Linked DNA regions of Arabidopsis thaliana. The protein of the gene in region 1 interacts with the protein of each later gene in a pairwise test. Each region holds a gene or a part of one and is shown on either strand. Other genes may lie near its edges.

The links. Proteins that work in one complex are often made in the same cells at the same time.
Region 2: the proteins of AT3G22845 (region 1) and PUP4 interact in a protein complementation assay, tested with the Arabidopsis thaliana proteins (one large-scale study listed by BioGRID).

The regions. Positions count from the first base shown.
Region 1 is NC_003074.8:8,085,305-8,089,335, forward strand, and holds AT3G22845 (emp24/gp25L/p24 family/GOLD family protein), read left to right. Parts: upstream 1-1,933; 5' UTR 1,934-2,068; coding exon 2,069-2,284; intron 2,285-2,539; coding exon 2,540-2,726; coding exon of another isoform or gene 2,727-2,844; coding exon 2,845-2,952; intron 2,953-3,112; coding exon 3,113-3,246; 3' UTR 3,247-3,520; downstream 3,521-4,031. Other genes in the region: ELIP1 (Chlorophyll A-B binding family protein), read right to left, coding at 1-141; AT3G22850 (aluminum induced protein with YGL and LRDR motifs), read left to right, coding at 3,763-3,962. UniProt on the Arabidopsis thaliana protein: Involved in vesicular protein trafficking. Mainly functions in the early secretory pathway but also in post-Golgi membranes.
Region 2 is NC_003070.9:10,972,425-10,977,029, forward strand, and holds PUP4 (purine permease 4), read left to right. Parts: upstream 1-2,020; 5' UTR 2,021-2,156; coding exon 2,157-3,305; 3' UTR 3,306-3,373; exon of another isoform or gene 3,374-3,639; intron 3,640-3,850; 3' UTR 3,851-3,874; downstream 3,875-4,605.

The sequences.
Region 1 (4,031 bases):
AGCCATGCATCTCACTCCCACCGGATAATTCCTCTTGAGGTTAGGGAAGCTACCGGCGGAGAAAAGCTTGTTGGTGTTGATCTTGCGAGTGGTTAATCCACCGGCGAAGACTGATTGCATGTTGAACGATGCTGTTGCCATTTCTAAAGCTTAGAACTACTAGTGTGAGAGAAATTAAGAAGAAACTTGGAGTAGCTAAGTGATTATCGCTTAGGTTACAGAACTTTAAGCTAGATCGTGTGTAGAAGCTTGATATGAGTAACGAATGATCTTACGTATGTATTTATAGGACGGGTGATCAGAAATGATAGGTCATTAGGTCGAGTTGTTTCCTGAACTTTCTTTTAGTTATTTACTTATTTAGCCTTTCGATATTGATAAGTTAATATAGTTCACACAAAAATAACCAACGGTCAAAAACATTACACGTGAATCATATAGTATTTGAAAGGTTCACTATCTAGGTTGAAGGATCAGCGTTCAAATTTTCTTACTACAATTTTTATTCTGATTTGTTATTAAACTGTTTCAACTGGATTAATTAACACACACCAAATTCATTATAAGTCTCACATAGTATCATATTCTTTATTGTTATACGAGTAGTAATCAACAAAGTCATTAAGTACATCACCTCGATAAAAAGCCAATTCTATGGAAAAATTAATATGGACAGTTTATCTACATTTCATATTCTTATGAACTAAAACATGCTAATTATTTTATTTGGATCTCCAAGATTTTTGGACATCCAAATTATTTCTAAACTGACTGACTCGTGTATTTGGCCGGTCCAAAACAAAACACGTAGGCTCCAAAAGTGTAAAAGAGGAAGCTGCGATATTTAAAGGAACCACGTTGCTTAGATTGTCCCCACGCATAACATAAATTTAACTTTTGAAGGACAAGGAACAAAGTCCATGGCGTGGCCTACTCATTCGCCACAGTTTCTTCTCACTTTTTTGGCCAAGTGCCAAGTGGGTTAGGTTAAAAACGTAAAAAAGATTCTCTCCATCTCCCAAAAACATGTGGCTCAAAAACAAAGCATAACATTGCTTTCGTTTCTAGAATACGTTCATTTCATTACACATCTCTCTTTATGCTTTTGGAACTTAGCTGAGTTTGGATTCAGACAGGCCCATACTTAGTCTGGCCGAGTCCGTGACTGTTCTCTCTTTGTCCCTTTCTACGTGGCCGATCCTAACTCCGTCAGTTTTTTGGTAATATTTACGGTCGTTTCAAAATGTCAATAACTTTACAATTAAATGGAGATAAAGATTATTTACTGTTAAGAAAAAAAAGACTATTTACTCTTACAGTCATACGTATCTCATAACGGGCCGTATAGGGCTCATTAGGCCCATCAACTCTAGCTTCCCTAACCAAATCATGTCTTTCGCTCATATATGTTCGTTTCTAATGTAGTGTTGACCAAATCTGCAAATTGACATTCTGATCATTTTAGTCTTTGATAACATATGAAAGAAGAATTGTCATTCTCAACCTAAGGAAATTTGGAAGGATTCACTTTTACATGGTAACACAAAGAAGAAAACATATGATTCTTTAGATTTTGTTCCCGGAAATAATGATTTCTTAGAATATAAGTACTTTGACATTATTGACCAAATAAATAAAAACTACCTTGACATTATTATGCATACATAACAGTCAATTCTTTTTAACACATATCAATGGCGTAGATAAAAAAAACTTCCAAAACGTACATTAAGTCATTAACCAATATATATACAAAAATCAAAAATTTTTTGTAAAAACAAACATCACTGAAACACTTTTTGAAGTAAAATTTTATCAATTTAATCATAATTTAGATCGTATTTTACTTACATTAAAATTAGTAATATTTTTCTCTAACTCTCTTTAATGACCAAAAGCCGTTGACCAATAAAATCTCCCCGTGTCGTCATAAACCGGTTTTAATTTCCGGTTTGGTAATCTAAGTCGCAATAAAATCCTCTTTGTCTTCTTCTTCTTCCTCTACTCGGCGAATTCTCTCGAGAAAACAAACTGAATTTTTTTGATCGAAGAAGATCTAAAAAAAAAGATGGAGAGACGACAAGCGAAGATCCATGTCTTTGTATTGATAGGTCTAATTCTATTGAATTCAATCAATCAAATCTCATCTCTCTCTGTAACGGTGAACGACGAAGAATGTGTCCAAGAGTACGTCCTTTACGAAGGCGACACTGTTTCCGGTAACTTCGTCGTCGTCGATCATGATATCTTCTGGGGATCCGATCATCCTGGTTTGGATTTCACGGTTAGCGATCTTTCAATTTACCTTTTTACCCCAAAAGTTCTTAACTTTGATACGTTTCCTTCGATAATCCCAATGTTTGATTTATCGTGAAATTGGTGTTTCTCATGCTTAATTTTGACCTGATCTGATCTTTGTAAGGATGTGACAATTTAGGGTTTGGTTGGGATTGTGGAAATTTGCTATCTTTGATTGGATTGGATTGGATTTTGGTTAGGGTTAATGTGTTGATTGATTCATTGGATTGTGTTTGTGTAGGTGACGTCACCAGCTGGGAACATTGTACAGACTTTAAAGGGAACATCTGGAGATAAGTTTGAGTTTAAGGCTCCAAAAAGTGGAATGTACAAATTTTGTTTCCACAATCCTTATTCTACTCCTGAAACTGTCTCCTTTTATATTCATGTTGGTCATATTCCTAATGAGCATGACTTAGCCAAAGATGGTTCGTTTCCATTCCCCTTATGTATGATCATCTTCATTGATGCAATCTGTATTTTGTGCATTGAGCTTGAGCTGTTTTGTGATGTTATGTTCTTTCTGTTTTGTTGTTTGGTTCTTAGAACATTTGGACCCGGTAAATGTTAAGATAGCTGAGTTGAGAGAGGCTTTGGAATCTGTTGTTGCTGAGCAGAAGTATTTGAAAGCTCGTGACACTCGTCACCGTCATAGTAAGTTTTCTCCATTCGTCTTACAAGCCTCATTCCCTTGATTACCCGAGTAACTTGCTTAGATGCAGTATGACAATATAATGAGTTTTTAGACAGACATCATTGAATGGCGAAAGATGCAACCTTTATACGATCTAACATTGTTCTGTGTTTGGTGCAGCGAATGAGAGCACGAGAAAGCGAGTGATATTCTACACAGTAGGAGAGTACATTTTCCTTGCCGCAGCTAGTGGACTTCAAGTTCTCTACATCCGCAAGCTCTTCAGCAAGTCGGTAGCATACAACAGAGTTTGAACATAGCAAAACCTCAGAGCGAGGTCTTGTGTCCAGTTTATGTTTGAATCGGTGATCAAAACACAATCCTAAACAGTGTTAGTTAATTTAAAAGCTTCAATAGCGAAAGACTTACTTTTTGTTTTTGGTTTCTACACTTTTATAAGTTTACTAATGCAGAACTTGATGAAGCTTTTTTCTGAATTCATTGATTAGTGAATATCATTATCTTGTTATTATCGTAGACAAATTGATATGAGATCCTTAATTATGATACCAAATAAAAACCACCACTAAAGTGAAAGAAAAAACAAAGTCAAAGTAATATACAATATCATACAAATATCTGCAAAACGTGGAGGAAAAGAAAAATCGAATAATTCGATGATTCTCTCTATCAAAGAAACGAAAAAGTCGTATTGAAGTTTTGCCATTTGTTTATAAAAGAAGTGGCTGTTCAACGATTCTAAAGTCATTTACTTTACCATTTTGATCTGTTGCTCTGTTTCACTGTGCGTGATCGGGAAGAAGAAGAAAATGTTGGCGATTTTCGACAAGAACGTGGCGAAAACACCCGAGGCTCTTCAGGGTCAAGAGGGTGGATCGGTTTGTGCTCTTAAAGATAGGTTCTTGCCGAACCATTTCTCCTCTGTTTATCCTGGTGCTGTCACCATCAATCTCGGATCTTCTGGTTTCATTGCTTGCTCTCTCGAGAAACAGAACCCTCTTCTTCCCAGGTTTTGTACAATAGTTTATTCCTCAGGATGATGTTTTCTTCTTCTGTCCTAGATATGAGAGATTTGCTA
Region 2 (4,605 bases), on another chromosome or scaffold:
TCAATAGGTGACATGATCATAACAGTAAAATCTCTTTAACAACTTTGACCTCCGATTATTTAGCTTCCTGTTATTGCTTTTATAGTTATGTAGGTTTATCATGTCTGTTTTAGAAATCATGAAGATTATTTAGTTGACTTGTTGTTACCAAAGATTCATGTTTATGCTCGAAATAATAGAACAACTATTTCATGAAAATTCTCAAAAATATGAACTATCATAACAAAAATCCCTAAGAAACTGAGAAATATTTTTCAGTTTCAAAACACTATTTTTATACGTATAACACTAAAAAAGGCGAGCTATATGGTAAATCTAATTTATTTTTATTCTCTTAAACAGCTTACTATTTCGTAAGATTTGAACCTTTTATTACATCTTATTTCATTTTATATTAAGGAGTTTTCTCTTTATTTTTGTATTTACACACTAAACAGTCTACATCTAGTTTTCCTAGATCATTCATCGCTGCCACAAAATCTCTGCACTCTATTTCTGAAACTAGGGGTCTACGCGAAAATATTTTGATAAGATTGTTTGTTATAAATGGATACAATTAAATGTGACCAATTAGATTATACAATGGAAATAGAAGAAAAAGACAAGAGAAATATTATCCTTTGGTTACTCTTCTTTTCTATGTTTATAACTAAAATTTTTGTATCCTCTCATTTTTCTTGATAGGTGAAAATTAATACAAACCCAAAGTAAAATTCAACTTAGCTGAAAAAGTATTATTATATTGTTCAAAACACCAGTCGAAGCATTAGACTTCCTGTCTACAAACATAGTTACATGAAATACACACCACTATAGAGTAGTAAATAAAATCTTATTAATTATTAATCAAGAGGTAACGGTTAAAATAAATTTATTAAAATATTTATGTCATTCACTATATATTTACATTAATGTGTGTGTGTGTTTATGCGTGGAGACTTAACGTTACACACATTTTTTTTTTTTTTCTTACACACATTAAATTTTTTTTTTTAGTGGTCAACTGGAAAAATGTGTTTTGTATTTAGTAAATCTCTTTCCTTCTTTTGAAAATACTTTTGAAGAATAGAGTATGTATTTTCCAATAGTGAAGTAATTCAAAATTATCAAAACCATTAAGTTTATGGTGAAAAATATTTTGTAACCCAAAAAAATGAATTGTACTGAAATTTAAATTTAGATTAGATGGTTTGGTTCGAGCTTGTGATCTTTAATTTCATATGATTATTAGTTTTAAGTTAGTGAACGCTATTTTTTTTGTTCGTCTGGTTAGAACTATGTATGTGTAAATAAATGTTTATTAATTTAATTAAGTTCTTGGCCCAAAACCTATGAGAATTAATTAGTTGATAAATTACATGTGTCAAATAGGTTATAGTTAGTTTCTAAAATATTTAGTCAAAGATTTTTTTTTTGACATCTATCAAATAGGTTATAAATTATATGTGTTTTAATTTTATTGGTTAAAGTAAATGATCATATAAGTTATATTATTGAATAAATATATACTAAATATTACTAGTGTTGGTTAAAAACTATGGAAAATTTTATTGTTATAGAAATATTTTTGATGGATAAACATTGTTTATCTATTAAATATATAAAAGGGAAAGTTTCTTCTATATAAACTCATGATGATAAGATTTTGAGCAAAATTACCAATTTTGTTTTCTTCTTTTGTCAATACAAAGGCTTATAACATTAATTGCTTTTATTTTGTGGTAAAGAGATATCAACAGATTTTAGATAATAAATTCATATTTCTTAATGAAAACATTGTTATTGAGGGAAATTTTTTTATCATTGTATAGAAGATTCCCTCTCTAGAAGAATATTCATATGAAATGAGATGCTGGATACCCAACTAAATATTTGTATTTTTTAGAAATTTTGTTAGTAACGACTGAATGTAGTGCATCACATTAATTGAAAATGAATTTATTTGACTATCAATATAATAATAAATGTGTTAGTATCTTTGATTTCGATAAAATCCACAATATATACATGAGTGATCAGTGTGTATTGTGTTGTTGGAGACTGAACCATCAACGCTTTTTCGACACTTCTTCTTCTTCCTCCTTTCTCTCTTCATGCAAAATCACAGTTACAAGAAATAAACAAAAGATTATAAATCAAAACATAAAGAGACAAAAATGAGTGATGGTCGAGTTAACGCAGATCCTCAACAAGAAGAGAACATGGTTAAACCACCGGTTAAGAGATCTCTCACTCTCCTCATCGTGACTTACTTTTTTCTCTTCTTCGGCTCTATCGCTTCGAGCCTTCTCGCGAAGTACTATTTCGTCTACGGTGGCTCGAGCCGGTGGGTCTCCACGTGGGTTCAATCTGCTGGCTTCCCTCTCCTCCTCATCCTAATCTACTTCCCTCACTACGTTCTCAAAACCACCACTCGCCGTCCTTTCACGCGCTTCACGCTCCGCCATCTCATCTTCTCCGTGTTGATCGGGCTTGTTCTCGGTTTCAACAACTTCCTCTTCTCATGGGGAACCTCGTACCTTCCGGTGTCCACGTCATCGCTTCTCCTCTCGACACAACTCGTCTTCACTCTCATTTTGTCTAGGATCATAGTGAAACAGAAGATCACTTTCTCAAACCTCAACTGCGTTGTCCTGTTGACGTTAAGCTCTGTTTTGTTGGCTCTTGATTCGAGTAAAGATAAACCGTCCGGTTTAACCAAAACCAAGTATTTCATCGGGTATGTATCCACGATCGGAGCCGGTTTACTCTTCGCTCTTTACCTCCCCGTGACGGAGAAGCTATACCGTACCGTTTATTGTTACGCGATGGTCATGGAGGTGCAACTGGTGATGGAATTCGCAGCGACGGTTTTCGCGACAATCGGTATGGCTTGCGAAGGCGGGTTTAAGGAAATGGTTAAGGAAGCGAACCATGTTTTCACCAAAGGACCAACATTTTATTGGACGTTTGCGATACTAGCAAATGTGGTGACGTGGCAGCTCTCTTTCGCAGCCACGTCAGGGATGGTTTACTTGACGTCAGGTATCACCGGAGGTATCTGCATGACGGCGTTGCTCGCGATGAATGTGATAGGAGGTGTGGTGGCTTACGGTGACGTGTTTGGTGGAGTGAAGATTGTGTCGACGGTGCTATGTATTTGGGGATTCTCATCTTACACATACGGGATGTATATGAAGATGAAGAAGGAGGAGAAGGAGAAGGGAGAATATTCCGGCGTAAAGACGACGGAAGACAGCGGAGAGATGGAGGTGGAAATGGGAAATGTTAAAGATGACGTGGCGGCGGCGGATGATAGGGCTTGAAGATATCTGTGTGATTGAGACGGCCGTTATGATTATTATTAGGAAGGAAGCCAACAAAAAAAAAAAAAGTAGTAGTATCTTTTTGTGTTCTTTCTTTTTCTCACCTTATGTTTTTTTAGTAATGCATTTGCTTTTGTTTTTCTTGTTTTTTTAGGTTGTTTTGTTTTTCCTTTTCTGGTTATTTTTATGAATTATCCTCTTATCATGGCCACAACTAATGATGTTGTACACTTTTTAAGTGTGGATTTTCCAATGTCGGTTGATAAGTATGTATTTTTCTGTTATCTATGGGCTTTTGATTGGTTTTATTAGATATATGGTCTGTTATTTTCCCAGTCTCCAGTGACATTGATACGAAAATTATACACCCTGTGATGACAAACAACAACACCGACGATATATTGAGAATAAGGCGACGATAAGTAGTGTTGATTGTATCGGATGCTGAAAATAAGAGTAACTGTGACAATTTATTTTTTTATCCGGTGTGACTCTTGGAGTGGTTTCGGTTTTTTTATTTTTATTTTTATTGTTGATAAGAATAGGCCAAAAAAAAAAAAAAAGTAGGCCCAAAGGAATAGGTCCAGTGTAGTTATTTAGTGAACAAAAAAAATATTAACTTTCACCTATACAAAAATGTGAATTTTTTTTTTTGTTGGAAACACTTTTTACAAAAAGATGTGATATTATTTGATCTAAGAATATCCAGAATGTGGTTTACAAATGTATACCACCTGTTTAATGTTTTGACCATGTTAATTTCCTATAGCTTGCTTCAAATCCAACTCTCGATTATACTTACAGTTCAGAGAACAACAAAACTAATCCTCTGTTTTACAACACATGACTACATTGTTAGTGTTGGTGGCAATGCCAAAGCTCTAGGAGATAATTTTTTCAATTTTTTGTTCTTGGTAATGAAAGTTTTTGAGAGAGCATGTATTTATTTCATTTATAAGGATTTAATAGATTGTGTTTTATTAGTGTTTGACTTTTTATCATAATATAAAATTTGACGGGCGCTGGTAGCCTGGTACATGTCCTTGGCGCCGTCGAGTTGAGTTGCACTCTGGTAGAATCTTATTCCAAATTACTTCATGACATTCTCCAAGACAGAATGATCTCCTCTCTTTAAGAAATTTACGATTATACTGAAGTATGATGAATTTTACAAATGATATACTATTATACAAAACATATAACAATATATATACCTGTTACACTTACAGCCAATAACATATAAAAGAACAAAAAAGGAAAAAAGTTGTCGTTTATGGGAAACAACATACCAAACAAAGAA